Notamacropus eugenii: one gene and its partner. The protein of the gene in region 1 purifies or fractionates together with the protein of each later gene. This does not show direct contact. Links are inferred from orthologs where the notes say so. Each region holds a gene or a part of one and is shown in the gene's direction. Other genes may lie near its edges.

Evidence for each region.
Region 2: the proteins of STK11 (region 1) and COPS8 purify together in Homo sapiens (affinity purification with mass spectrometry; 3 studies listed by BioGRID and IntAct, with this or other methods). This does not show direct contact. The link is inferred for Notamacropus eugenii from reciprocal best matches to the Homo sapiens genes STK11 and COPS8.

What each region holds. Positions count from the first base shown.
Region 1 is NC_092875.1:61,885,710-61,901,178, forward strand, and holds the start of STK11 (serine/threonine-protein kinase STK11), read left to right. Parts: upstream 1-8,782; 5' UTR 8,783-9,611; coding exon 9,612-9,901; intron 9,902-15,469. UniProt on the Homo sapiens protein: Tumor suppressor serine/threonine-protein kinase that controls the activity of AMP-activated protein kinase (AMPK) family members, thereby playing a role in various processes such as cell metabolism, cell polarity, apoptosis and DNA damage response.
Region 2 is NC_092873.1:61,835,549-61,850,766, reverse strand, and holds the start of COPS8 (COP9 signalosome complex subunit 8), read left to right. Parts: upstream 1-8,228; 5' UTR 8,229-8,465; coding exon 8,466-8,546; intron 8,547-8,792; exon of another isoform or gene 8,793-8,878; coding exon of another isoform or gene 8,879-8,920; intron 8,921-9,012; exon of another isoform or gene 9,013-9,036; intron 9,037-9,592; coding exon 9,593-9,663; intron 9,664-11,771; coding exon 11,772-11,820; intron 11,821-12,933; coding exon 12,934-13,066; intron 13,067-15,218. UniProt on the Homo sapiens protein: Component of the COP9 signalosome complex (CSN), a complex involved in various cellular and developmental processes.

The sequences.
Region 1 (15,469 bases):
TTCATTGATGGGCAAAGAATATGGCCTAGAATGGGACAGGAAAAATAGTAATGAGAGGTGACCCAGCACTCCAGGGCTGTCCATTACTGCACACCTCTCCCTCTCACAAAGGTTTATCTTTTAAAAACAAAACAAATAAGCCCAAAACACCAGAATTCTCCTGATGACACTAGAGGGTTGTGAGCTATGGAATCCGAGGACTTCTGAAGCACTGACATTGTTGGTCCCTGGAAATGCTACCAGAAGGTCCATAGTGGTACAGATAGGGGGTGGGGATGGGTTGACTGCCCTACTGTGTATTACCAATGAGGAACTGCATACAAGGGACTAATGGGTGTCATAAAAGGAAGGTATGACTGGGAAAGGAGGTAGACTAGTCATGTCTCAATCAACAGCAAGAAAAAAACTTATTAAGCACCTACTATATATCGGACTATATGTCACTCAAAACAAAGTCACGTGCAAGTCATCATTTCTCTGATGTCATGGTCTTCAAAAATGGAGGAACACAACCTATATGTCAGGCACAATACTAAGGGGTACAAAGACAAATCCTTAGGGGTTTATGCCTATGTATGTAACAGGGCATGGCATGTACATAAGTAAGTACAGAATAAATATGAAGGCATATGATGCAGTTCTGAAGGCAGTTAGGTGGTGCTGTAGATAGAACCCTGGACTTGGAGTCAAGAAAACCTGAGTTCAAGGGTGGCTTCAGACATTTATTAGCTGTGTGACCTTGGGCAAATCACTTAACATCTATGTGCCTCAGTTTCCTCATCTGTAAAAAAGAAGCAATACTAGCACCTACCTCCTAGGATTGTGGTAAAGATTAAATGAAATACTTATTATTTTGGAAGGAAAGGGAGTAGTAACTTGGGGAATAGGAAGGTGGAGGGGGTGTAGTGAGGAAAGGTTTCCTGTAGAAGATGAAGTTCAAGCTGAGTTTTGAAGGGAACTAGAGATTCTAACAGGCACCAGTAAGAACGGGGAACATTCTAGGCTTTGAGGACAGTCTGTGCAAAACCCCAAAGAGAGGAGATAGATCATCTGTAGGCCACTAAAGCTAGCCCAAGGGTGGGGAACTTGGGGGCTTGAGGCCACATGTGGCCTTCTAGGTCCTCAAGAGCTCTTTGGCTGAATCCAAACTTCTCAGAAAAAATCCCCTTAATAAAAGGGCTTGTTCTGTAAAACTTGGACTCCGTCACAAGGCCACACCCGAGGACCTAGAAGGCCACATATGATCTCGAGGCCACAGGTTCCCCACCCCTGGGCTAGACCACAGAATAAGTGGGAGTGCCATACAATAAGGCTTGGAAGGTAGGGTGTGGCCAGCCTGTAAAGAGCTTTAAATACCAAACTGGATACACAATTTATTGTTCAGTCATTTTTGCAGTCATGTCTGACTCTTTATGAGCCTATTTGGAGTTTTCTTGGTAAAGATACTGGAGTGGTTTGCCATTTCCTTCTCTAGCTCATTTTACAGATGAGGAAACTGAGGCAAACAGCATTAAGTGACTTCCCCAGGATTTCACAGTTAGTAAGTATCTGAGGCCAGATTTGAACTCAAAGGGATGAGTCTTCCTGGTTCCAGGCATGGCACTTTATCCACTGCACCACCTAATTGTCCACATAGTTTATGTTTGACCCTTGAAATAATAAGGAACTCATAGAATTTATTGTTAGTATGGAGGGGATGTCATGGTCAATGTTACTACAACTTAGGAAAACCGTTTTGGCAGCTATGTGGAAGATGGACTCCAATTGGGGAGATTGGAGGCAAGGATGCCAGTTAGAAAGTGATTACAGTAGTGTAAGGCAGAGGTGATGAGGAGGATTTGAATTAGGCTTGAATCTAGGCAGAGAGAAGGGACAGATGTGACAGATGTTGGAGAGACAGAATGATTTGGCAACTGCTCAGACACATGGAGTAAGGGGTGAAGGAGGTATCAAGGAGGACGCCAAGGTTGAGAATCTGAGTGACCGGAAGGATGGTGGTGGTTTTGATAGTAGTAGGGAAGTACAGGAGAAAGATGAGTTTTAGAGGGAAGAAGAAGAAGAAGAAGAAGGAAGAGGAGGAGGAGGAGGAGGAGGAGGAGAATGGGGGGGAAGGGGTGACATGGTTAGATCAGCACTTGAGAAAGTTCAATTTGTTAGCTGAGAAGATAAAGGACTAGAGTGGGGAAAAACTTCAGGCAGGGAGACCAAGCAGCAGGCCCCTGAAATAGTCCAGAAGGGAGAGGATGAGGGCTCAAACAAGAAGGGCAGCAGCATCAGAAGAAAGAAAGGGCCATATATGAAAGATGTTACAGAAGTAAAACCAACACTTGGTGACAGATTAGTTATGGGGGGTGAGAGTGAGGAAATGAGGATGCCAATGAACTTGGGAGCCTGGGTAACTAGAAGGATGTGGTACCCTAGATAGTAAAAGGGAATTTTGGAAGTTGTGAGGAGGACTTTGAGAGGAAAATAATGAGCACAGTTTTGGACGTTTTGAGCTGGATGTCTCGGGGATATCCACTTTGAGAGGTCTGATAGGCAATTGGAGATGTAAGAATGGTGGTTGGGGCTGGATAAGGAGATCTAAGAATCTTCAGCATAGAGATAATAACTGAAACCTGGGAACTTAGGAGAGCATCAAGGGAGGTAGTATAGAAGGGGAAGAGAAGAGGGCTCTGGGCGACACCCACATTTAGCATATGTATCCTAGACTACGATCCAGAAAAGGAGAGACCAGAGAGGTAGGAGAAGAACCAGTACAGAAAAGCATCACAGAAACCCAGAGAGAAAAGGGTTTCAAGGAGAAGAGAGAGATTGATAGTATCAAAGGTAGCAGAGAGTTCAAAAAAGATGAGGACTGAAAAAAGGCCATTTCAGACATGGTTAGCAATTTTGGAGACAGCAGTTGTGATTAAATGATGTGATCTGAAACCAGATTGTAGAGATAAAGAGAGAGTGAGAAGAAAGAAGGTGGAGTTGCCTATAGTAAATGGCATGGGGTATTTTCCCAAGGAGGTTAGCCATAAAAGAGAGAAGAGAGATGGGACAGCTAGCAGGGATGGATGGATGAAGTGAGGTTTTTTTCTGGGAGAGGAGGTTAGATGGAGGAGACATCTGTAGGCAGTCGGGAAGGAACCTGTAGATAGGGAGAGACTGAGTTAAGGGAGAAGATGAGTATGGTGGAGAGGGCACATAGTAGGTGCTTAAAAATATTGATCAATTGATAGGAACACTTTTGAATGTGGAGAGGTTTGCCTTGGCATGGAGAAGGGCCAGCTCTTAAAGGGAGACAGGGCTTACAGGGGAGATAGTGGCACAAGGATAAGAGATGAGGAGGAGAGAAGAGAGAACTTTCAGTAAATCTCTCCATTTTTTCAGGAAAATAGGCAAAATTTTCAGCTGAGAGACTAGGGAGAGGGGCAGCCAGGGGAAGTCTGAGGAGGGATGAAAAGGTTTGGATGAGCCTCTGTGGAGAATGAGATAGTGAGCTAATTAGAGAAGTGTAAAAGGGTTTTCTAGCAGCAGTGCGGCTGTGTAAAATACATTTGTAATGGATGCAGACATCGCAGCTTCATGATTTTCTCCACCTTCATTCAGCAGCATATGTGCAGGATCTAAAGCAGAGGATAGTGGGAGTGATCCACTGCTGAGTCTTGGCAAGGCAAGATTGGCAATAAAATATGGGAAACAAGGGACTCAAGAGGACAGTGTGAAATTAAACTGGTGAGCAGGGCTTACCAAAGGGTCAAGATGAGGAAGGAGTGTGTAGTCAGCACAGGGTTGATGCCTAGGAAAGCACCGAGAGGATTGGGGTATTGGAGGTCACAGTGAGTGAAACCAAAGAACAGGGTTTGGGGTGACTGCATTAGCATCAATATCAAATCACAAAATATACAAAAAGGCATCCACGTAGAAGATGGCTAACTAGCATGAGAAGGTAGAGATGCACTGGAATCTGCTTTACTAGTGGGAATTCCCACATCAATGAGATCAGACCTTCCTTTCCATATCCAGGAGTCTTTGTGACCATGGCTTCTTTGTAACATACACTATATAATGGTATTATAGAAGCTTTGTGTTTGTGTATTATAGAAGAATTGTGTTTGGTTTTGGTTTGAATCTCCTTCTCTGGGCCTGGTATCTTATACAGAGTAAGTGCTAATTAATGATTCTTGAATTAAAGCAGAGCAGAGAAGGTTAAATTACAATGGTCCTTAAATAAAGGGCATAGAATGTCAGAGAAGAGAGGAAACTTAGAGGTCATCTAGTTCAGTCTCCTTAAATTATAGGTAAGTAAACAGAGGCTCAGAGAAAGTTAGACGGCTCAGACTCAGGATTGGAAGCTTGGCAGATCATGTTTAGAGCTGGAAAAAATTTTAGGAAATCACCTAATCCAATCATTTCATTTTACAGATGGGGAAACTAGGGTCCAGTGAAGGTATGTGAACTGCCCATGTTCACATGTTGTTGTTTTTTGTCCTTCCTTCTCAAAGAGGACAGAGATCTCAGGAAGATGATGTCATGACTTGCAAGTAGATTGGATTTAAGTGAGGCAGGGCTGTGCAAAGTCACCAGCCTCACTTTCTCCTCCAGAGCCATCAAGGTATAGATCAAGACAACTAGAGATGGTCCTGGCACAGTGGAAGACTTTGGCCTTTTTAAGGTAAGGTCTTTCTGAGTTGTCACGTTGACTGAGGCAATGCCCATTCAGTGATTAAGGCTAGGCAAGAGTCAAGGAATGACCCCTATCAGGTACCAAGCAATGACAGCTAACTGGTGCTTGGGCTAGGATCTAAGGTTGGCCAATTAATGAGAGCCAGAGTGAATTGGGTTTAAAGCATAATCTTAAGAGAAGAATCAAGCTAGGAAACCCCAAGACATTTTGCTAGATTTCAGCCATCAAAATTTACATTCCCTTGGGCAGAGTACCCAAAGGCAAGGATATGATACCATGTGTGGGCAAAGAGAAGGGAAGGGAAAGAAATGAAGGAAGGGACAAAGGAGGAAAGGAAAGGAAGAAGGAAAGGAAAGGAAAGGAAAGGAAAGGAAAGGAAAGGAAAGGAAAGGAAAGGAAAGGAAAGGAAAGGAAAGGAAAGGAAAGGAAAGGAAAGGAGTTGATCAACTGGAACTGGCCAGTTGAGTCCCCAGTGGGGTAGCTCAAGCTACTCATAGGTTGTTGTTTGTCCTTCATTCTCAAAGAGGACCAGGACTTCAGGGAGATGATGCTATGACTTGCAAGTGGATTGGATTTAAGCGAGGAAGGGCTGTGCAGTCATCAGCCTTTCTCCTCCAGACCTACCTGGGTCAAGATATAAATCAGGATGATTAGAGATGACCCTGTGCCCAGATCACATAGGTAGTAGCAACAACATCAGCTAGCATTTATATAGCACCTATTGTATGTCAGACATTGTACTCGACAAATATCTCATTTGATTCTCACAAAAACCCTGGAAGATAGGTGTTATTATTACTTCCATTTTACAAGTGAGGCAACTGAAGCAGATAGAGGTTAAGTGAATTGCCCAGGGCCACACAGATAGCAACAGTCAGAGACCAAGTTTGAACTCAGGTATTCCTGACTTCCTGTCCAGTGCTCTAACCATTGCATCACCTAGCTACAGTTTAAACTCAGTTTCTTTACCTCTAAATCTAGCTCTCTTTATACTATGGCATATTGGGTACCCAAGATCACATAAGAGCCAAGTCTCTGCCCAGTCAATCAGTCAACAAACATTTTTTAATTTAAGCACCTCCAATTGAGTTTACAAGGAAAGGTAAAAAACAAAACATCTCAACATTCTTTTTTTAATTTATTTTTTCCAATTACATGTAAAATCAATTTTTAACATTCACTTAAAATTTGTTTTTGAGTTCCAAATTCTCTCACTCCTTTTCCTCCCCCTTTCTTGAGAAGGAAAACAATTTGATATAGACTAACATATTTCTATATTAACCATGAGAACACAGACCAAAAACTACCCCCAAAATCAAGAAAAATAAAGTTAAAAAAAGTATGGTTTGACCTGCATTCAGACCCAGTCAGTTCTTTCTCTGGAGGCAGATAACATTTTTCATCACATGTCCTTTGGAATTGTGTTGGATAATTGTATTGCTGAGAATGGCTAAGTCATTCAGAATTGATCATTGCGCAGTGTTGCTGCTACTTTGTACAATGTTCTCCCAGTTCTTCTGGCTTCACTCAGCATCAGTTCATGCAAGTCTTTACAGGTTTTTCTGAAATCTGCCTGCTAGTCTTTTCTCATAGCATAATAGTATCCCATCACAATCAGTCATTTCCCAATTGATGGGCATCCCCTCAATTTCCAATTCTTGGCCATCACCAAAAGAACGGCTATAAATAGTTTTGTACGTGTCCTTTCCCTTTTTCTTTGTTCTCTTCGGATTACAGACCTAGTAGTGGTATTTCTGGGACAAACAGCCAAACATTTTTTGTGAACATTTCTGTATTGGCAGTTGTCACCTCCCTTTGACAAAAGTGGAGTGAAGGATGTCTGATGACCGAGAGTAGTGGTCTTCAGAGTGAGATGTGTGCCCTCCCCTCTGCAGAGTCTGTTAAGCCAAACCACTGGGATGGAGGAAGAAAATCTTCGAATGAAGATGAGCAGCCTAGAGGCTTACAGCCTTGTCCTGAAGCTGTTCTCTGGGTGTTCCCACACCTGTGCCCAACACAGGCTGTACTAGGGGCCATAAACATTGTTTAGGCACCTGCTTCGGGGCCAGGCAAAGACAGTCCCTCTCTGCCCTCAAGGTGCTTACAATGTAACGGGAGAAGACACCGCACAAAGGAAGCTGCAAGGGAAGACAAGATAGTAGAGGGCATCCAGCTGGATGGGTTGGATGGATGGTGGAGTCAAGACCTAGCGGTGTACGTGCCAGGGGAAATGAAGAGATGGCAGAGCTTCTGGGTCCTCTTGAAGCTGGTTCAGCAGGGCTCACTCCTCCCCTGTCCCCCACTTCAATAGAAGGACTGACTCCTTCTCTCCCAACCCCCATCAACAAGAAAAGACGCTTACACGATCCTAGCAGGACTTGGCCCAAGGCAAGCTGGCCAGCAGGGCAGCCCCATTCCTACCAAAAGGGCTGGTTCCATGGAAGAAAGCTGGATGAGGAGTATGAGGACCTGGGCTCAAATCCCGGCGAGGCTACTTATTAGCGACGTGACCTTGCACAAGTCACTTTACCTCCTCTGGATTTCAGTTCCTCATCTATATAATTCAGGGCTGGACTGGGCTGCCCCTAAGGTCTATGAGGTCTGCAGTTCATGGGATTATAGGCTGGTCGATTAGCCTTTACGGGTTTAAAAAGAGATGGTGAGAAGTAGCAGTCCAGGGGTGGGTACAAAGAACATAAGTTTGGAGTCGGAGGACTTAAATTCATGCCCCAGCTCTGATAATGACTTCCCTTCCTCTCTCCGGGTCTCAGCTTCCCCATCTGTAAAGTAAGAGGCTTGGACAAAACCGTCCCTAGGATGGTCCACTCTCCAGCTGTAAATCCTACGAACTGGTTTTTAGCTCCTGCCTTTGGTCTGGGCTTTCTGGCCCCGCCCCCAACTACACTTCACCTCCCCCTCCCCTTCCCCACTTCGAGTGCCCATCCCGCATCCTTCCCCGCCCTCTCTTCAGAATGGGCCCCTCCCCCGACCAATCAGAGATCGCGCTCCACCCTCCAGGGCGGTTCCCTTCGGGAACCAATCCCTGCTTCGGAGCCCGCTCCGGTCCAAACCGTCCAATCGCCCTGGGCAGCAGGGTGGGGGCCCCTCGGCGCCAGCCAACTGCCGTTCACGCCGGCGGCCGGCCGCGCTTGGGGGGCGGGGCGTGCGGCGGCGGCGGCAGCAGCGGCGGCGGCGCCAAGGAGGGCCGGGGGGAGGGAGGTAAACAAGATGGCGGCGGCGTGTCGGGTGCGGAAGGGGGAGGCGGCCGCTCGGACCTCTCTTAAGTGAGGCGGGGACGCCGGGGGAACCGAACCCGGGCGCCGGCCGCTCTCTCCTGCCTCCTTCTCCGCCTGCGTGCGCAGCGGGCCCGGTGCCGACTGGGCCGCGTTGGATGGGCCCGGGGCCGCCCGGCCTCCTCAGAGCTGCCCCGCGCGGGGCCCGGCTGTGGGGGAGCAGCGGCGGCGGCGGCCTGCGGTGCGGGACCCGCCCTCACCGAGCCCGGTCGGGAGAGGCAGCCGAGCCCCGGCCCGGCCCGGTCCCGGGCTGCCCGGGACTCGGAGGGTTGGGGGGAGGGGGCTGCTCTCCCGGGGGCCCCGAGGCCCCAGCCCCTTCCCCCCAGCCCCCCGCCCGTTACCTTCGGAGGGAGCGAGGGAGCAGCGACGACCCCCGCAGCCCCCTCTGCCGGGAGCCTCCCCGGGACGGGCGGAGGGGAGCCGGCAAGCGACAGCGCTTGGGATCCCGAGAGCAAAGGGAAGGGAGGGCGGGGGGAGGGGGGCGTGAGAACCCGCCTTTTAAGTTTACTTCCCCTCCCCAGCCCCGCGCCCCCAACTCTGTCTTTGTTTCAGGGTCGTGGGGTCAGTAGGTCGCCTTTAGCACCCCTACTTTGGTGGGGGTTGTTTGGCCCTCTCCTTCCCCCTTACCCTTTTTTTTTCCTTTGGAAGGAGTGGGGTACTCATCTCTACCTGTCACCTTTTTGGGGAGAGGGACCCAGAAAATTGGGATTGGGTTAGTTTGTTCCCATCCCGTTCCTCCCGGCTTTATTTATTAAAGGGAGGGATTTCCCCAGGAGCGGGTGGGTGGGAAGGAAAACTTGTCTGAGCTCTTTCCAGGAGCCCTTTGGTGGAGGCTCCCCAGGATCGGTGTCTTCACATTGACCTTTGGGGGGCTGGCAGTAGGGGACCTTTGGGGAGGGAAGCGGCAGGAGGGATCGGCAGACTCCGGGTGAAGGGATGCCCCCTGTGAAACCTTGATAAGTGTTGAGGGCTTTGAACTTTTGGCAGATAGAGGGGAGGAGCCTGTGTGTTTGTGTGTGTGAATGTGTTGGGGTGGGGGGAGTGGGACAAGAGATTGATATTCAGTAGAGGGAACCCTTTCAAGCAATCAAATTTCCACCACCAGTTTGTTTTCAAAGGGGGTCAAGTTTGGAATTCAAGGTGCAGATATCCTGTGAGCACGTTCGGACTGCTGATCCCAGTTTGTATTTGGGAGCCATGACACAAGGGTAATGGAAAGTCCTGAAAAGACTTCACTTTCCTTCTGTATTTGTCCAAGGGTCTAAAGTCCTAGAGAATGACCTAGCACTTAAGAACCCAACCTGGGCCTTTTTAGGGGCTGCAGTGAGTGAGGAGACCTGGCAGAGCCAAAGCAGTGAGACCGGGTCAAAAAACAAGCCAGGTGCCTGAGCAAAAGTTCTTGATGTTTTTTGTTTTTTTGTTTTTTTTTTTGCTTGAGAGCCAGGCACTTGGGGTGCATTAGACCCTTTTCAGGGACTACTGAATTACGTTAGTACAATCTTTGGAAGAGTTGGGTTTTTTTTTTCCTCTTCTGTTTTTGTTTTTTTTGTTTTGAGAAGAAAAGTTGAGAAAACCAAGAACTCAAGTTGGATTAAGGGATCCTGGTGTATCTAAGGGAGCCTGGTTAAGGAGTTTAATCCAGGATGGATTTGGCAGAACCACAGCAGTTGGGCATGTTTACAGAAAGTGAACTGATGTCTGTGGGTATGGACACATTTATCCACCGAATAGACTCCACCGAGGTCATCTACCAGCCAAGACGAAAAAGAGCCAAACTCATTGGCAAATACCTGATGGGGGATTTGTTGGGAGAAGGATCTTATGGGAAAGTGAAGGAGATGCTGGACTCTGAAACCCTATGCCGGAGAGCTGTGAAAATCCTTAAAAAGAAAAAGTTGCGAAGGATCCCCAATGGGGAGGCAAATGTTAAAAAGTAAGTATAATCTTTTTGCTCATTAGAAAAACAATGTAATTAGATCTCATCTTTTAAAATCTTTAAACTGGCAAGCAAATGAATGTCATATTCTAAAGGAAATGTTAGAAATTGCCTGTTCACTAACATCTTAGTCTCAGGTGGATGATAATCATACCCACTGAATGTTAAGCTGGTGAAGGCAATATTAGCAAAATACATATCAGTAGCCCAAACCTATAAATTGTTAACACCCTCTCCCATACTTATATCTGTTTGCTTTATCACGAAACTACTTGCTCTGTTGTCATGTGTCTGTCTACTCGATTTAAGTTTGCATTTCCACAGAATGTCCTTCTGAGCCACCAGTAGATATTTTGCATGACATGCTGCCAGTTACTGGGGCCAAGCAAGATTTGATTTGTTTATCCTGTTCAGAGGGGTTCCTGCTGTTGCCAAAATGAATTATTTGCACCAGCTTATCAGTCAGCAGGAAGGAAAACTTAGACCTCTCTAACTTGCTTATGATGTAACATAAGAAACATCAGTGACTGCAGATTCATGACCCCTGATGAGTTCTGTCTAGTGTTGGAGGTTGCCTGGAGTAAGAATTGTTCTCAGTTGGAAGGCAGAAGATTTAGGTTGTGGTTCTTCTGGCTCTGAGGCACTCAGTGGGAAAGTGACCTTGGGCAAGTCATGGCCCTACTTGGGGCCTGTTTCCCTTGTAAAATGAAGGGACTGAACTGGGTTAATTCTTAGGCCCCTTTCCTTTCTAACATTGTGAATTGCTGATTTCTAGTGGTTTTATATTTGGCTGCCTCTGCTATTTATGTACTGCGCACTGACCTCCTTCTGGAGATGACTTTATGAATCAGGCCCTGACCAGTAACTAAGGGTACCTTCCAACCTTGACAAAGTGGATGGGTAGGGTTAGTTATAGTAGGATAGCAGAATCAGTTAAGGAGCTGAGTTGAGTTGAGTTCATCATAAACTACTTGTTAATACAAAATAACCATTCATGTCATTATATCTACCCCATGTCATTCTGTGAATGGGATTCAGCACTTTCCCCTTTGCAGTGAGACTGGACACCAAAGAAAGGAAGGTAAACTTGGGTTGTGGCTTCTTAATGGAAACTCGTTTTGAAAGCGGAAGTATCTTCTTATTAGAAAGTGTCATAAATGAACCTCTGTGGCTCTTTGGGGATAGTATTTGGAAGGTAGGACTAGAGCGGGATAAAGTACATGGTCTAGTGGTAAGTGCACTGAATGAGGACTTGGGACACTGGAGTTCTGTTTCTGACCCTTCCACAGATCAGTAATGCGACCTTGACCAAGTTTCCCTGATCTGGGCTTCAGTTTCCTCACCTATAAAAGGAGGGTGTGGATTAGATAATTTCCAGCAGCCTTTACAGCTCTTAGCCTATGATATGATGCATGATGGGACAGACTGTGAAGTTGGTGTACTCATTTCCCCATATTTTGCCTAAGAAGGGTGCTCTGAAACTCTCTCTGCCTAATACCATACCATTTTCCCTTTGGTCTGGTTTTACTTTACTCTCTTTTACTTTGGGTTAGGTGGAACAGGATTGTAGTCTGTATCCAGGTTTGTGTCACTAATGTGAACTATAAGCCTGGACACATTGCTAGCTGTGATGTGGGCATTTCCACCTCACCACTGCTAAAGAGACAGTGTTTCCATTGGGCAGTGTCACAGGTTAATCCTTTGCCTAACCAGAACATTTGGGTTTAAAACTTAATCGTTTGAGTAATTTAATGATTCCTTGATGAGACCTTTAAATGTCTTAGTGCAGTTGGGCATTAGGTGAATACAGTCATTTTTCAAAGAACTGGAGAAGCAGTGAGGTGTAGCAGAGAGAACGCTGACCCTGGGAGTTAGGAGATTCAGCTTCAAGTCCCAGCCTTGCCATTTGTCATAGAATTTCATATTTGGAGGGGACCTCAGTGCTCTGGTTCAGCCTGTAGCCATTCCAAACAAAGGGACTCTGTGGGTTTTACCATTGACATTTGACAAATATTTACTGAGTACTTAGAGGTAGGCTGGTATAGAGGAGACAATGGGTTAGAGTGCCAGCTTAGCCAGGCACTGTAGCTGTGTGCCTTTGGGTAAATAACCTTTCTGAATCTCAATTTGTTCACTTAAAATGGAAATAACCCTTGCCCTGCCTATCTCATAGGATTGTGAAGATATATATGAAAACCCTGTCTAAATAGGAGCTAATATTACTCGGGTTTGGTATTACTAGTAGGTAGTTTTGCCCATTGTCCTCGGAACTGCCTGGCCCAATTACAAGCATTATCGGCATCCTGTTAAAGTTACATAGTTATGCATTTAGATTCTTCCTGAGAATAAACTTTTGAAGTCTATTAACTTGTATCAACAGAGTTGACTGGATTCCTAAGATAACAAGCATCAGAAACAACTCTCAGAGCTTTCTCTGATTGCCAAAGAAGTTCCTTCCACTAACTTTGAAAACTCTTTTTCAATGAAGAAAAGAGAGTTGATTAGGAGCAACTGTCCTTTTGTTGAAGGGTTGCAAGTAACTTTACATTTAGAGATCTCAGTTATATTTTTGTGAATGTTTTCCTTCCAGAAACACTATCCAAGACAGTAGACATTGTATGGTCTACACAGAATACACGTGTGGAATTAAGTATAATTTCTGAACTTTGTGGTCCTGTTGGATCTCAGCTGCCTTTACAAAAGAGCTAGTTAGTACTGGTGAATGTAGTACAGTGGAGACAAGTTGTTTTGGAATTGTATCACCTGCATTCCAGCCATAGGAGGCAGCTAGGTGGTTCAGTGAATAGAGAGCTAGGCCTGGAATCAGGAAGACCTGAGTTCAAATCCAGCCTCAGACACTCACTAGCTCTGTGATTCTGGGTAGGTAGCTTAACCTTAATTCACTGGAGAAGGAAATGGCAAACCTCTTCTGTATCTTTGCCAAGGAAACCCTGTGAAAGTGTGGTCCATGGGGTCACAAAGAGTGAGACATAACGGCATGATTGAATAACAGCGACAAAATACAGCCATGGCCCTCTTTACTGACTGTGACCTTGGACAAGGTACAGAGTCTGTCTGAGCCTCAGTTTGAAATCTGAGATCCTATGATCTTTCATCAATAACATAGCATTTCAGAGCTGAAAAAGGCAGTACAACATTCTAGGTTCCAGTCCTAACTGTGCCTCTGGTTATCTTTGTGACCTTGGGTAAATCAACCTCTTCTCCTCTGTTTCTTCACCCGTCAAATGAGAGCACTGAACTAGATGGTTGCTAAATCTCTTCCACTTCTTTGGTCTAGAACACATCTTGTCCAAAACTTCCTTGTTTTAAAGATGAGGAAACTGAGACCCCTAAAGGGGAAATGACTTGTCTTAGATCACATAGAGCAGCAGAGCCAGGGTTGGAGAACCAAGAACTGATTCCTATCCAGTGCTCTTTCTATTGAACCATATTGCTTCTCAGTTCATCAGTGTACTGTGCATTGAACTATGCATTCAGGTTTACAAACCAGGTTCCTGAGTGTCATGAATTTTCCCTAACCTTTGGCCTAAACCATCTGCATAGTGTCTGATTAAGAGCCCTAAGTTTGTTATAAATATTAGAAACTGCCACCTCCTTCTTCCTCTGACCAGCTGCTTGGCTGGCTGTGACTCATGCCCTCAGGTCTCAGGCCCCTTGTTGCCACACCCAACTGATGCTCTGAAGGAATCTAGTACTGAAAATTATTTTTCTCTTTGGTTCATATTGAGAAGGTACCAATTTTATTTTTTTAAACCAGTGTCTATGGCTTGATGTAAAATTTAGAGTTGATAACAACTTCTTATACTTCAGAGGGTCTTGTGATTTCATTGGCTTGGGTACCTCATACCTTAGATGGTTTCCATGAGTTGCTGTGGCCAAAGAAATTCCAACTAACTGGTAGGTCTTGAGATTGAGCCTCTCTGCACTTAGCCAGGCTGGGTGGTTTGGGGCTCCTTAGAGGATTCAGGGTCACCTCCATTTCCTCGAGTGGAAAAGAAGTTGGGTGTGATTCTTTAAATCATGAGTTTCTGGGTGAACTTGTTCTTTGAGTTTACGTCTAGTACGAACCAGCTGCAAGGAGAAAAGAACCTTTGTCTGTCAGAAGCTTAATAAACTAAACACTAATAGTGTTCTCTTTTAATTAAGTGTCAGGGACCTTTGGCGCAAGCCCCAAGAGCATTGTGCTGTACTTAAAATGTTCAGCATTTCTATTTTACTTGAATGTTTTGTCTTTCAAATACCTCAAAAATTATGTTCTTTAAAAAAGGTAATACAGGAGTTAACTTTATTTAGCCAATCAAGAAAACCCCTGTGACAGAATTGAGCTGTTCAGCAGTTCTCTTTCTTGCTGAGTAATTTGCTCCTCTCTGAAGCTAGCAGTGGCTTCCTGAGTAAGTGTGGTGTTAAATTTATTATCAGATTTTTAGAAGTCTTTACTTGACTGAATGTGGCAAAGTTGTAGAGATTTGAGCTCCCTATTCCTTTATGTGTGAAGCCAGGTACTATATTTGGATTGATTGGTGGATGCCTGAATTTGGATGTGAAATAGTCAGAATTTCCGCAAGTTGAGAACAAGAGCCTTGGACTTTGTCAGATTTGGTTTTTGTGAGGTGAGATATATCAAGTTCAGGGTGTTACTTGAGAATTACTCTTTCTCCCTGGGTGAGATCAGTATTTTGCTTTGAGAATACGAGCAGAATGTGGCCGGTTTGAATCCCTTCTGATACTAACCTGTTGCTGCCTTAGGAGTCTAGCTAGAATAAGGGTCTTGGATGTCTCTGGTTATTTCACTGTTTGTCTTGTCACTTCATTTGGCAGAAAGAAGGAATGATTTTGAAATAAAGATGTGACCTTAATGGACAGTGTGAGCTGGAGGAATGCAGGGAGGTGATTCATTAGTTTGTTCCAACACTTTCAAACTGGAAGAATTATTCTTGTAAGTAAATTGGAACAAGAATTCAAGTGTTTGCCACACTGTATGCTAAGCTTTGAAAGAGGGTTTCTCTTGAGGTCCAGGAGAGGAAGAACAATGGAAAGGAGAAGCTGCCCTTAGAAGAAATGTTTGAGGGAAAAGTACCAGGGACTTTGAATGACAGAAAAATGAATGTTGATTCAAAGATTGTTAAAGTCAGGTAGTTGGGACAGGAAAGGTCTGGAAGGGTGCCACTGTTCCAGTTCCTCTCCCTCACCCTAGTCATGTTATAGATGAGGAGACAGGTTAGGTGATTTTCCCAAGGTCCCATAGCTCCCTAGTGGAGGACCAGGCTTTATGTCAGTTAATAATCAAGACAGGAGTGGTCAAAAAACTGGAGGGGGAGAAAGTAGAAATCTTCATTATGGGGAGAGGGTCCTGTAGAAGAATAGAGTGACTTACGACTATAAGATTATCTCTTGGCAAACCCTTTACTCTTTTGGGGGGGGGGTAGGGGGGAAGGGTTGTATTTTTTTTTGTTTTAATGAACATAGCCCATCCACAAACTTGAACATTTTAGTAAAAAAAAAAAATACCAGCAAAAAAGAGAATGGCTTTTGAAACTTTCAACT
Region 2 (15,218 bases), on another chromosome or scaffold:
TTTACAAATGTGTGGATGTACATGCTATAGCTTCTCATAGTCACAGATAAGAATTTGTGACAGGTGTACTGGAAAGGTGGATGAGCAGCCCTGAAATAGTCCTCCATAAACAACTCACAAGTTGTAGCCACGTAGTAGGTGAATGTTTGTTTCAATTCATTGATTCATTGTTGACAGGTCCTGAGTCAAAGAATTCCCTGACCTAATAAGGCATTGATAAATCACTACAATACTGTGCCAGTCACTGTAAGGAAAAACAGCAAGTTTTGTTGATGATTATGGTGGTGGGCATGGGGATGGTGGGCATGGGAATGATATGATGAACAGAAAGTGATAATGATGGTGATGACTCTAACCACAGTGGTGGTGATGGTAATGATGGACATCATACGGATAAGGGCAAGTGATTCCTATCTGCTTCATTCTCCAGGAATATAGAATGTCCCCAAAGTCTTAGCACAGTTTTAAGCTTTAATAGTTTTAATTAGCTTGACATTGTGCTAACACTTTGGAGACATGTAGTATTTAGTTCATCCAGAGAGAAGGGAAATCAACTTTTGAAGAAAAGGTAGATGAGAGGAATGAGCCCTTCGCTAGCAAGATTATAGGGTCAGATTGGTTACAAGACTAAGAAGCATCTTCTTCACAGACAGAGAATGTTCCTAAGTTGCTGATGCTTCCTGTGAGGTCCAGGGGCCCTGTCTGTAGCATTTAGGACTTTGGGTAGCATTTCTTCCCTCAAAGCAAAGCATCAGGTCAACAATGGTCCCATTAAAAATATTCAACTCTCCAGTATTCACATAATTCTTAGTTTTCACTTAGTGGCTATTCATATATTCTTGGGAAAATACAGCAGCGAAGCACAAAAACATCTCATTTGCCACCATCTTCCAAAGTTCTTCGAGTTGATGTGGAGAGAAACATACAATGAAGCATGGAATGTGATACATGGACGCCATCATTCACAGTGCTGTCTGCTTTCCACATTCTTTGTCTACAAATCAGGAACATATTTGAGTCTCATTTGTTCCCCATCTATCTTTTCTCCCATTCTTCTTACCTCCTAATGAGGGCAACCCCCAGTGATCCTCTCTCTACTTAAAACAATCTGATTCTAAGCCCAGAGCTCTAGTTGCTAAACCACAAAGAGAGATGTGACAAGAAGCATTTAACTCACTACTTAATAGATGGTTAAATGCTGAAATGTCACAATAAAACGAAGGAAATGTTTTATTTCTAAGGATAATGTTTACCCCTCTGGAGATTTGGCTAACTTTTTTTGTTCCTCTGTGCATACATTTTTGTGATAACAATGTTATTTAAACATCCATCCAGATTTTTATTCTTTACGGAGGCAGCTTTTCCCAGTATTTAAATTCCTCCCTGGTTGTAAATGAAATACTTTCCTAAACTGCATGATCTCCCTCAGACCACTAGCAAGGCCACAAGTTACTATTAATAATGTGGTACTATTTAGACTTTCAATTAATTTTTCTATTACTTTCAAATTAGTATCTTGAATTTGTAGAGATTCAAAAGGTATGCAAAATTATTTTAATATTTTCAATACTTATAAAATTAGGATTGTGATGGTTGTGGTGATGATAATATTTATACAGTACCTACTACGTGCCAGGTACTCTACTAAGAACTTCATAATTATGATATCATTCGATCCCCACAACAATACTGAGAGGTAGATGGTATTATTATAAATCCATTGTGTAACTTCCCTGGAATGAGTCTACCTTCCATCTATGCTGACTCTGACCCCACTGGGGCACATTCAATCATCTTTAAGAGGCTAGAAAAAAATGGCCATCACCCTGCAGTCAACCTCAGAATTAGCCTCTCTGGATGTCACTTGGTTATCCTTCAATGAGGATACATAAAAAACTACATGATATATATGCAACTATAAATAATACAAATGCTTATTCCTTCCTTCCCTTCCCAATAAGAGACAGAGAGATGACCCTGATCAAGCCCACACTCATAACCTTTCTAGTTTAAGGAACGTGCCAGCGTTTCTGTCCTGTCAATTCAATTCATTTGATTCAGTCAGTCCAGTTCAGTTTAACAGGCGTTTATTAAAAACCCACTATGTGCCAGGATAGTATACTAGGTTCTGAGGATACAAAGGCAAAAAAAAAAAGTCATTGTAGGGAGAATGAGAGTCAATTGAGGTATTACTCAACAGTCTGAGTGACATGGGACCCCCTCCCACCCTGAGATATTAGGACTAGAGGAATGGATGAATCAATGAAAGCCAATGAAAAAGATTTTTTCAATCCCTTATTGTGTGCCAGGCATTGTGCTAAGGACTGATGGTTCACAGACAAAAGAGAGATCATCCCCATCCACACGGAGTTTAGGTTCCAACAGGAGAGAAGGATGAATCCAGAGTCTGGAAATCAACAATCCTCTGAGCCTTTCCTCTAGGAAGGATTCTGGAAAACCATGGACACAGACTACAGAGTATAGGGAGAGGCTTCAGTCCTCATTGATCAAAAGAATATTCGCACCAATGAAATTAGATTTGTGCTATTTGGTCCACAGAGAAGAAAAAGAATAGCCAAGTGGATGGTGCAAAGAAACAAATCTAGACTTGATCTGAGGGAAAGCTTCCTGAACAGGCAGAGCCGTCTAGGTGCTGCCAGAACTGGTGGGATCACTGATTACTGGAGAGGTTGCTAAAGGGATTCCTGTTCAAGAATGGGGTCCCTTCTCACTCTGAGATGCTACAAAGTCACCTTTCATCAACTCCAGTGATTGCCAGGAGGCAATTGGAGGGGGACAAAGGTGAGCCTTGGCTCATTCTTGAATGAGAAGTCATGCTCTCTGAGCCCTGCAGATTCTGAATTTATATTAACTAAGCAGTGGCAGATAAAGTCTGTACTTAATAATGATTTTTCACATAACTGATTTTTGTTATTGTTCAATCATTTTCAGTCGCGTCCAACTCATTGTGACTCCATTTGGGGTCTTCTTGGCAGAGATACTGGAGTGGTTTGCCATTTCCTTCTCCTGCTCATTTTTACAGATGAAAAAACTGAGGCAAACAAGATTAAGTGACTTGCCCAGGATCACACTGCTAACAAGTGTCTGAGGCTAGATTTGAACTTAGGAGGATGAGTCTTCTTGACTCCAGGTCTAGCATTCTATCTACTGCACCACCTAGCTGCCCTAGGTAAATTTTACATTTTTTTCTTACATATTTTTGTAAGTGAGAACCTTCTTCATGTTGTTAAATGTTTAAAATATTTCAACTGAAAAGGCAGTGGGTGTGATGTAGCCATGGGAAATATAATAAATATAGCCCTGGGCTATGATATCTTATTCCATTTGTCCCCCCATAGGATGGTCCTTTGACTTCTAAGTATCCCAAGTAACTGCACCTGCATTCAATGAGGGTTCTGAGATGCCAAATGACTCAGGAGCCAGAGAGGTAAAAAACTAGTTTGAGAAAGTATGTGGGAAGGATTACAATCTCAACCCAGATCCGTCATGATGGAAGAAGTGGGGAAGAACATTTTTCAAGGTGGTTTCTTAGCTCAGTAGCCTGGAAAAAACAAAGATTAGGAGGAATGGATATGGATAGAGTGCTGATGATGAAGTCAGTCAGGCTCAGCTGCAGGCAGGCCACAAAGCTGCTCCGAAGAACTTTGTTGAGGCCCCATTTCTCAGTCCTGGCATCTCTGCTCCAAAGTAATTCTACTTCATGACAGATGAATGCTTTAAAATATTTTAATAGGGATAGGGACAGACACTAGACCTGTGATTTGAGAAAGGAAATTCATATAAAAAAACTCCCTCTTTCAATGTAGGCCATTACCTTCACTACAATTTCTAGTTGTGGTTGCTCAGAGGATTATGAAAATTTCCAATCCTGTGACCAAATCCCTCTCCAGAAAACTAGGCCATTGAGCAATTCTGTCTGGAGGTTTTCTGTCTAAAAGAACAGAGCAAAACCAACATACCAGGGAGCTGTGATTTCATTAGTGGGGGAATCGTCTGATGTCCAAAGAGGTTGTGACTTAGCCATGAGCACACAGCTGGGGAGTGTCAGGAGGAGGACTAGAACCCATCTCTCCCTGACACCAATCTCCCTCATCTCCCCCATCCAATCAGCCATTTGACCTCCATTTCTCTGTCATTCTACTCACCATTCCAGCACTTAACAGTATCAAGCACACAGTAAGTATTTAATAAATGCCTGTTTACTGTTTCCACAGCTTAAGGTTGCTCATCCAGCATTCAAGGCCTTCCACTATGTGGCATCACCCTACTTCCCAACTCTATCTCAGACTGTTCCCCTCCATGTATTCTGTGCTCTATCCTCTTTAGATGATCCATCAACACTGGCATTTCCCACTTCCAGGCTTTTGCTCATGCAATTTCCTCTTCTGGGAATATCTCCTCCCCTCCCTCATGTCAAACCATCTTTTAAAGCCCCAATTAAACATCACCTTCCTGATGATGATGATGATGATGATGATGATGATGATGATGGTAGCTAACATGGGTTAGCAAAGACTCCATATTCATTATCTCCTTGAACCTCATAAGACCATAAGTCATGTTCTCATTTTACAGATAAGGAAATTGAAACATGGAGTGTCTGCTTGATTTGGCTCCTGCTACCCAGCTTGTGTTAAAGGTAGGGTGGAAATCCAGGTTTTCCTAATTCCAAGACCAGCCCTCAGGCTGAAGAGCTCAAAAGCTTTCTCTGCTCTCCCATTCAGGACTAGAAGAAATGTGATGATAAGATTTTTGAGGAGCAAGTATGTCATGAATTCTCTCTTAGATGTTTTAAACTGGAGGTGCCTGGCAGGAGATATCCAACTGGAGATTAGAGAGAAGGGATCCTGCCTCAGAAGGTCACTAGCCGTGGGAACTTGGGCAAATCATGTAATGTGGATCAGTTTCCTCATCTGCAGAAGACAGGACTTGACTCCATGACCTCTAAGGATTCTTCCAACTGTATATCTGTGCTCCTGGCTTTAGGGCTGGGAGTCACCTGCAAAGACCCTATGGGAGCTGATGGAACCCCCTAGTGAAGAGGAAACAGAGAGGAGAGCACCAGAGTTTGGGGTGGCAGTTACCTCCACTTACCTGCTCTGAGAAGGCTGAAAATCCTGGCCAGGAGGCAGAGAAGGAAATGGCAGCTGGGAGCATGGGGTGCACGTTTGGTGTTTAACAAACACTTTTTGATTAAATAATCATTGGCATTTTTCTTTGGACTGTGCAGAAGTCCCTGGGGCTTCTCCCTCCAGGGGATGGATTTACTACTCTCAGAATCCTTCCAAAAGAATAAGTTTGTCAACCCTTCTGGAGTTATGTTCACAGGTTGCCAAAAAATGATTTGCAACTGATTTTTAAAATGCAAACTTAACATTTTCCAGCAAGGAGGATTCATATTCTTCTCAGGAGGGTGGGTCATTTTCTGAAAATTAATTCTACTTTCCTGCTAAATGAAATCACTTGCATTGCCTGGGGTACACCTTGGAGATGTCTTGTATGACACCCTGCCTCCATAGGCCTGATGTGTCATGGTAGGTTACAGAGGGAAAGAGTCTCATGCCAGGAGTCAGGAAAAGTCAATTGTACTTGATGGGCCTCATTTCTATCCTCTGTAGAATGGGCAGGGTTGAACTAGTTACCAGGTTAAGTCCTCAGCCCTCAGCAGGCATTTTCTCCTCCAGAGAGTTCATATAAGGTGGGAGAGATCCTGACTCCAACTCACACTCTGAAGTTGGTCTCTGAGCAGGACCACATCTCCCCCAGTAGGGAGAATTCCGTTCTTATGCCATCGGTTTGAGTGTCCATTCCAGCATGTTCTCCCCAAGGTCCTTTGGTGAGTAGTACTCTGGTTCTCATTTAACCAACTCGTATCAGTTAGCTTTTCCAAAGTGATATCTTCTGAGAAGATACAGTAAGGGCAGAAGTCATAAGCATTTTCCCCTTCCCCCTACTCAGGGGCCCATTCTCCGATGGACCCCTTTGGGCCCTGCCCAAAGTTCACTCTAGAATGTGGCATAGGTGATGAATGAGTGGCTGTACCTCCTCTGGATGCCTTCCACCCCGTTAGGCTGGGTCAGCAGCTCACACGGGACCTCCCCTAAATCTGGCATGGATTCCAGCTTCCAGGTATCTGCTGGTTCTGGCTCTTGACCTTTCACAGCTTACAAGGTCACAGCCTAGTCTGACCCTCAGTCCCTGAAGAGCAGGAGAGAACATCTGAGACCCATAATCTCTGACCACTTTTTGATCCAAGACCTCTCTCTCTTTCCACTTATAGGAAAGTGGTTTATAGGATTTCATCTTCACTTGAACCTGCCAGGCAGAGAAAAAGGGCTGAGCTGCCCCCACAGGAGTCCCTGTTATGTAAACCCAGTTCCATCTCAGCAGCCAGTCAAAAAACATGCAGTCATCAGGCCAATATAGGGAAGCTAAGTGGTGCAGTGGATAGAATTCTGGGACTGGAGTCTGAAGGACCTGAATTTAAATCCCAACTCAGACACTTACTAGCTGGGGCAAGTCACTTAACCCTGTTTGCCTCAGTTTCCTCATCTGTAAAAGGAATTGGAAAAGGAAATGGCAAACCACTCCAGCATCTTTGCCCAGAAAACCCCAAAAAGAGTTGCAGAGAGTTGGACACAACTGAAATGACTCAGCAACAATAAGATCAGAATGATTCATAGAACTCCATTCATAGAACTACTGCTTGGGCAGTAGAGACCCAGTTTTTCCATGCTATATCATTAGAGGCTTCCAGAGGCCAGATCACCAAAAGCTCAAGCTCCCAGGACTCCTCTGCCAGGCCCACATGACACTCTCTATCTATTGAAAATGTTGCTATTCCAGGCAAATTGGCCATGGCACATTTTGAACCCACTGCCCATGTCCCCCATCCAGAAGAGCTCTCTGGGTTCCTGAGAGCCATAAGAATGGTCCCTGAATGCCTCCCCCAGGGCTGGAGTACAGAAACAGATCGCATGCCACCATCTTAGAGAGTTTTCAGCACATGGTGCCCACTGTAGAGGTCTATGGACTCAGCACACAAAGAGCATCTCACAGAATTAGCCAAAGATCACTGCTTGCTTAGTACTGGATGACGGCCTAGAAACAGCCTTCGCAACACAATGGCAAAGAAAAGAAATTCAAGACAAAACACCAGTTTCCCGGCTCAGAAGAAAGCCTGAGAGATACCTGCAGAATTTCCCAGACTACATGGAGTTGTCCCACAAAGTACCTGGAGCCTGGGGTCAACTGGTGGTCATCTGGTCACCCTTAGATGAGAAACCAAAGGGGCCCAGTGCTGGCAGAGCAGCTTGCCAAACAAGCCCACCAAGGTGACTGCAAAGAATGCTTCTGACTGCGGAGAACCACTCTGCCAAAGCAGAGGGGCACAATCAACCCATTTTTTCTCTAGTGGATACAGAAAAGTAAGTTATTGAATAATAAAATCCCAGGTAGGGAATTTCTCCAGGGCCCCCCACATAGACAAAAGTCCCTATTTGATCCTAAATGAGACCTCAGAGGCAGGCTTTATAAGCCTGGATCAAGACGGGTCCTCATCACAGCTCACACCACTGGGCCAGCTAGCTCCTCTTCAGGGTTCTCTGAGGGGAGGGTGGGGTGTGGGGGTTGCATCTGTAATGGGGGGAGAGTCCCAGGATCCTAAGTCTAGAGCTGGAAGGGACCTTGGAGGGTTGAACTATACATGTGCCTGCTCTAAAGCCCTGTGCTGCATGACCTTGGGTAAGTCAGTTTGGCTCTCGAGCCTCAGTTTCCCCGCCTGTAAAATGGGCATCTGGGTCCTCTAGAGGCATCTATGTGCTGTGTGCCTTTGGGGAGGTGGGTTCCACTCTCTGAGCCTCAGTTTCCCCGCCAGTAAAATGGGCATCTGGGTCCTCTAGAGGCATCTATGTGCTGCGTGACTTAGGGGAGGTGGGTTCCCCTCTCTGAGCCTCAGTTTCCCCACCTGTAAACTGGGGCATTCTGGACAGTTATTTCGGGGTCTAAGGCTTATGCATCTATGAGCTGTACGACCTTGGTCAGCTGGGCCTCAGTTTCCCCATCTGCACTAGCTGCACGCCCAGTTCTGTGGGCGCACGCGGGAGCCGGGATCGGGATCCCAGCACAGGTCTCAGCAAACGGGAGGTGAAAGATGAGTCCTCCAGAGCAGCGAGACTTCGGGGCAGAGCGGCTCGCGCACGCAGCGCGGTGGGCGGAGCCCCGTGGAAGGAGCCGGAAGTCGGGTCGGCGCACGCTGAGGGAGGAAGGCCGGAAGTCGGGGGGCGTGGCCGGAGAAGGGTTCGGCGCCTGGAGAGCGTCACTCTCGGCGCGACGCCGCTTGTGGGATCCGGCGCTCGGCGGCCGGCAGCGAGCTCTGGGGCCCGGCCTGAGGCGGCGGCAGAGGAGGCGGAGGGGGAGGCCCAGGCCCGGCGCAGGCGGGGAAGATGCCCGTGGCCGTGATGGCGGACAACGCCGCCTTCAGCTTCAAGAAACTGCTGGATCAGTGCGAGAACCAGGAGCTCGAGGTACCGGCGGCGCCCGGCCGCGGGGGCGCGCACGGGGCAGCTCTACCCGCGGGCGGGAGGGGGCCGGTTACCGGGGCAACGGAGCAGGGCAGGGGGAGGGGCGGTTACCCCTCCCCCACGGCCCGTGAAGCCGGGGCAGAAATGGGGGTGGGGCACGTAGGGGAGCCTGCTGGATGCCGCGCGGAGCCTCGGGCGACGGTGAGTGACGTCACAGACAGGTAGTCACGTTATCCACGCGCTCGTTCCGAGGTCCGCGGAGTAAGCATTTGTAGAGAGCCTACTGTGTGCGGACCTCCTTGTGATCCTCACGCCAGCTCTGAGGGGGTGCCATCATGATCCCCGTTTTACGGATGAGGGAGCTGAGACGGAGAGAGGCAGGCGACCTCCCCGGGGTCACAGCTGGTGCACCCCACCCGGCAGCCCCAGGATGGGGTCGGGACTGGCCCTGTGATTTCACTCCCGCGTGAGGAAATTCCCCCCACTGGTGCAGGCCAGCAGCACCTTGGAGTCTCACTGGTCATCAGGCCAGCCTTTGTCAGAGTTAGACACCCCAGGCTAGGGCGTCCTGCCCATGAGGCCGCCGGGCGTTAAAAGTTCTTTAATTAAGAGGGCGGAGAAAAGGTCTTCCAGGAACAACTTCCAGTTTTCATTCTTAGATATTCGTTTTGGGGCTGTATTTGAAAAAAATTGGCACCTTTTGCTCCACAAATCCTGTGGCAAATACTCTTGTTTTTCAGAACGTTAGAATTAACATTTTGGTTAAAACAGTCATGTTTCCAGTCGTGCCTATTTAAGAGTTTGGATAAAAGTGTAGGAAATAGGAACTGAAGCTGGGATTTCATTGGTGGTGGGAATTCCTGGAGGAAAAACACTTCTACCAGGCAAGATTGAACACTTTCTCCCACGAGGCTTGGTGCCCTGGCAGCCAGCTGGTGTCAGTTGTGGGACTCGAACCCGGGCCTCGCTGACTTCCTGCACTGCCTACGAACATGACAAAAGGATCCATGGATGGCCTTGGTGACTCATTTGTGTGTGTTGTCTCCCAGGCTCCTGGAGGAATCGCTACGCCCCCCGTGTACGGGCAGCTCCTGGCTCTGTACCTTCTGCACAATGACATGTAAGTATTTGTTTCCATGGCTCACCGTGGCTAAGATCTGACTGATCTTTTTGGAAAGCTTTGCCGCTATTTTAGAAAACTCTTGGAGTTTTTTTCCTTTGGGTTTAGGTGAGGGTATTTTTAAGGTGAGTGATCTCTGCCACTTTGCAAAATGCTGCTTTTTAGGTCCTAAAATCTATACAAGCAGAAGAATGCCCAAAATGACCTTATTCAGCTCTAGCCCATTTTATGTTTATTTAGAACATTTTCGTAATCTTCTGATAATCAACTGATTACAGCAAAGGAGAGCACAGCCTGTGTCAGTACTTTCCTCTGTTCACTCATCCCCCTGGGTGGGGGAGGGGGTAACCTGGCCTGATAGTCCAGCTTGTCAGCCCTCTCCTACCTCATGCTGTCTTGTATTTGCTTACCTGTTCACTGGCTTGTGTCTCTTCCTTCTCACCTCCCCACCCACAAAACGTTCTCTCTGCAAGGACAGTTGTCCTTTCTGTTGTTGAGCCCCCACCCCCATATACAGAGCAGGTATTTTGGGCATATACGCTTGTTGGATTGAACTGAGTTGAAAAAACTGGAAAGAAGTTTAGGGGCAATGATGAGTGACCTTTGTAGCCTGGAGCTGGCTAATCCTTTTTAAATGAGAAGAAAACCAAAGTCACCCCCACCAGAGGAAGCCTTGCCTCCTGATGAGCACAAAAGGTAACCCTAGACTTGGAGCTCCCAGTGGATGAGCTCCAGTGGAGTTCCTGGTGACTCTAGGCTGGAGGTTCTGCCTTTGAACCTCAGTTGTGGAAGCCCTGCCCTGAGCTTTGTGGAGGAGAACTCCGGAGTCAGAGGGGCCTTAGAGATTCTAGTCCAGTAGTGTCCAGTTTATACTGCAACAGAGCCAGACTCAGATGTAATTGGGAAATGTTTAACTAAGGAAATAAAAAGACAGAGATAATGCTAATTTGTGGTTTTCTAAGTCAGTATGCAGCCTGCAGGGGTCCTTTTCTATTTGAGTTTGTACCGATGGTCTGGTCCACCCCCTTCCTTTGGTCCTGAAGAAGAGAGAAGCCCAGGATGGTGGGGCCTATGGGTACCTAAGGCCACATCACACAGTGTCAGCCTCCTTCTGGTTACAAACACCATCCTCTCCCAGCTCCTGATAGTGCCTCTGAAGTCCCAGATCAGCAGCCCACATGTGGGTAGCCCTAGTGTTCATTGCCTTGGTGATGTCATTGCCTGCTCACTCCCCCTTCCTGAGTGTATCTGTTTTGCTTTAATTGGTGTTTTAAGCTTCTTGCGTGTGCTGAGCATCCAGCACATGTGAACTGCAGTCTTTAAATTCAATGAAATCAAAGTGAAATTGTTCCCAGAGTCTAGTTAAGATAGGGGTTCTAGTTGATTTATGTCTAACTTTTTAAAGAGCATGTCTTTTTCTTGAGACAGGTGTGTTTGAAGTTAAATGAAATCCACATTATGGGGATAGTTAAGTTCTGGTACTGATAAGAAAGGTGTTCAAAAACTATAATACAGCAGTTCCATTTTTAGATTTAGCCTGCAATTAAACCTCTTGAGAAGTCCTGATATTTCCTTGAAATTGGTCTCTGAAAAACTTTGGCAGTGCCCCTTCCCAAGTACTGCTTAGTTCCAGAAGGGAAGGATATCTTGGCATAGGATAACCCCTGCCTTAGATTAGGTAAAAAAGGATTGTCACATGGTCCTGAGGAAACTGAGGAACGTTTGGCATACCAGGCAATATGTGCCAGGCCTGGCAGCATCCTGGTTCCCTGGCTGAGGAAACCCCAAGTCAGTCAGGAAATTAGAGCCGCTCTTCTCCAGGTGCAAAGGGTTTGCACGAAGTACCAGTGTAAAGTCACTTACCTTGGTAAAAGATTTTCTCCCAGTAAAAAAGTGCTGAATATCTTTTCAGTTGGGATGCTGCTTCTCCCCAGCCTAACCCATGCATGTGTATGCACACACATGCCAAAGTAATTCTAGAGCAGGATTATACAGAGCTTGCAAAAGTGAATTGAAATGTTTTTTAAAAATCATTCTGTAGCACTAGGATGTTGAGCCTAGTGAAGCAAACTTGACTGATTTTTTTTTTCTTTGTGGATATAAATTAGGAATAATGCTCGATATCTTTGGAAAAGAATTCCTCCTGCTATAAAATCTGTAAGTAATCTCCATGTCTGTCTTACTCCTTTGTAAGGTTATTATGCTTTAAATACATTTCTTATAATAGTAATGATAGTAATTGCTTAGATTACCCAGATTGTACATAGCTTACTTACCTGTCTTGTGTCATATGTTCTTGCCCAGTGGTTTTCTCCCCAGAAACTAAAAAGGCTTTGATCATGTGCAGTCTCTCTTCCAAGGATGGGCCCAGCAATGTTCTGGCCAGCTCATCAACCAAGGATCTGTATGGGAGAGGGAAGGGATTGGCTCAGTTACTGTCCAACCTCACCAGGATGTGGGGTGGCTGGCGGCAGGAGCTTCCACGTCAAAGGCATTGTGAAGCTTTTGAAGTTTTACAAAGGATTTTCTAGAATAACTTTGAAGCAGTCAGCGTGTTCTGCTCAGTAATTCTAGCTGCTGCACAGTCTGAGTTTGGGATGTTACACAACTCCCAGCTCAAAGAGTCTTGGTTCTGTAGTAACAAAGTAAATTTTGTCATCAGAATTGTGGTGTTTTTTTGTTTTGTTTTGTTTTTAAGAATGATATCAGTGCAGTAAATGCTCAGTATCTTTAACATTGGTTTTCCTCCCAAGTCTCTATCTTGAAATGTGACTTTCTTGGTTATTTAGCAGGCTGCTTTGTCTTTCTACGGTAATCTTTAGTTTTGAAAAACTTTAGAGTAACAGTTAAATACATTTGAAGACAGATCTGTTTTGGATTTCAGATCCTTCTCATTGTTTTTGAACTAGAAAACATTCCAGCACAAATAAGGGGTCAGACAGGAGCCCCACAGGCCCACACAGTCACAGCCCTCTCGCGTGTGGTCCAAACCAGATTAAAATGTCATTGGAACATATTTAAACACAATTAAACCTGGATAATATTTTAACACAAAGTCACTGTCTGGCCCTCAGGGATCCTTGGGTGCAGTGGAGTGGCCATGGTTTCTCTTTGAGTTGGACTCACTGTCCGAGCACAGAGGCTGATTGCTTTCCATGTAGTTCTCTGTACATCAAGTCTCATCCATCATTTTTCATATTCTCTCTGAAGCCAGGGATACTACGTGAGGTGGACATGTTCAGGTGCAATGAAGGTTTCTCTTTATTACAGGCGAATTCTGAGCTTGGGGGAATCTGGTCAGTAGGACAGAGAATCTGGCAGAGAGATTTCCCAGGAATCTACACAACCATCAGTTCTCATCAGTGGTCTGAGACCATCCAGCCTATCATGGAAGCGCTCAGAGGTGAGGCCTGATTATTGGTGAAGAATCTAATTCATAGTCACTTTCCTCCATATATTTTTTCAACTTTAGATGTATCAGTGGTGAATGGAAAGTTCATCTTTTCTTAAATGAAGAAGACAGTTTTCAAAATTCAAACACTTCAGATCATGCCACCATCTTAATCAGAGATCATGTACACTGTGGGCAGCAGACTAGAGGTTTCCCCTCTAGCAGCACTTGGATCTAAATCTTCTTGAAGTGTCTCTGTTGTTTTTTACTATAAGAGAACTGGTTTTTAGAAAGGTAACATGGAGCAGTCTTTGAGGACCAAGAAATTGTCAGATATTCAGACTTCTCGTTCCATTTTAGAGTAGGAGCCACTTTGCCAGAGAGACAGGGCTTGTAAAAGCTTGTAAGGTGTTACACAACAGTCTGAAGGGATTTGTCCAAGGTCACACAGCTGGTGGAGCTCAGCGCGTTATATCAACTTGGTTAGAAAGCAGAGGTGAAGTCTGCTATTAGCCCTGATATTCGCATCATCTCTCCAGTCTTATCTGCCCACGTGGCACCTTAGCTCACACCATCCAGGATCGCGCAGGTGCGTCTGAGGCCATCATCTACTATGGTTAGACTGTCCTCCTATGTCATGTTGAGTTGTCTCTCACGTAGATGCCAGCTGTCATTTGCAGTTTAGATTCTCATCTCCCTTGGAGGGGAGCTCTTGAGTCAGGAAGCATGAGAAGACACATGCTGACAGTGATGTGCTCAGTCCAGGATTTATGAAGCCCCCGCTGCGGGGCAAGACTGAACCAGACCTTGGCATCAGGAAGTTCATGTTGTATTGGAGGAGACAACATGCACACATGTACCATTATACAGAGCAGATGGGGCGAAAAGGAGGAAAGGTCTCCAAGGTGAGGAGGGACCATTCCTGGCCCATGCCAAGGCTTAGAGATGCCACGGCTTGTGTGAGGAAGAACAGGAGGGCCTGGTGGAGCCCAGGGCTCCACCATATTTAAACACAAACCTGGATAATATTTTAACACAAAGTCACTGTGTGGCTCGCAGGGATCCTTGGGTGCAGTGGAGTGGCCCTGGTTTCTCTTTGAGTTGAACTCACTGTCCGAGCACAGAGGCTGATTCTTCTGTGCTTTCCACGTAGTTCTCTGTATATCAAGTCTCGTCCATCATTTTTCTTATTCTGTCCAGTGAAGACACTGGACAGTTGGTCATCTCTTTGGTGGGAAATAGGAGGTGGAGGCCCCAGTCTGGCCCTGTGCCTCAGGGAATGCAAGAGTAGGCGTAAGGGGTGATGACATGGGAATTGTGATTTCATTTGGCTTAGGGAAGGGAGGCAGCCCTTTCCTTTACATCCTTGGGACAAAGTGGGCATTCACAGCTTCTGTCACTGAGAGTCTCCCACAAAAGGAGGCTGAGAAGGACATGACAGCCAGACAGATGGCTCTGTCCCAGGGATTCTGGTGAGAGATGGGCACCCTCTTCCTCCTGCATTCTGTCACTGTCTAGGAGGTGCTGTCTTCCTGATGCCTGCTCCTGGTCACTCAGAATATGGGGGGTGTTTGGGGCTCACACTGCTGACTGTCCTCACCCTTGTAGGGGTCTTCTCAGTGTGAGGTCACAATACTCCCCCCCTCACTGGGCCCCGGCCAAGAGGGCTCCTCCTCCCTTTTGCTTCTTAGAATCCCAGGCTCCCTCCAAACATACCTCAAGTGTCCCCTCCCTCAGGAACCTGTTCTTGCTGCCCCCATTGGAGCTGCCAGTAAAGTAGAGGTTCCTGGAGGCCCACAGCTGCTGTTCTTTGTTTTTGTGTTGCTTGTGCTTAGTTCTGGGCCTGGGAGGCTCTTGGGGAATGCTGGTTGGTGATTGAACCCTCCTTTGCTACAATGCAGATCAGAGACCAGGCTGCCCACCTCTCCTCAGGGCCTTCCTCCCCTTCTCTCAGCATCTTATGGCCTCCACCACTACTTGCCCCTCCCTCTGCACCCCAGCCCATTGTATCTGGGTTCTTGCACTTCTTGGTGTTATTTGTGACATCCTTCCCTTCACTATTGCCCGATCCCTTATTTGTCCCTCATCCTCTGAGGGACTCAGCCGTGACACAGCACTGGAGGACATTGGTTTTAAAAACTCAGCCTTTGTTTCAAGGTAGAGG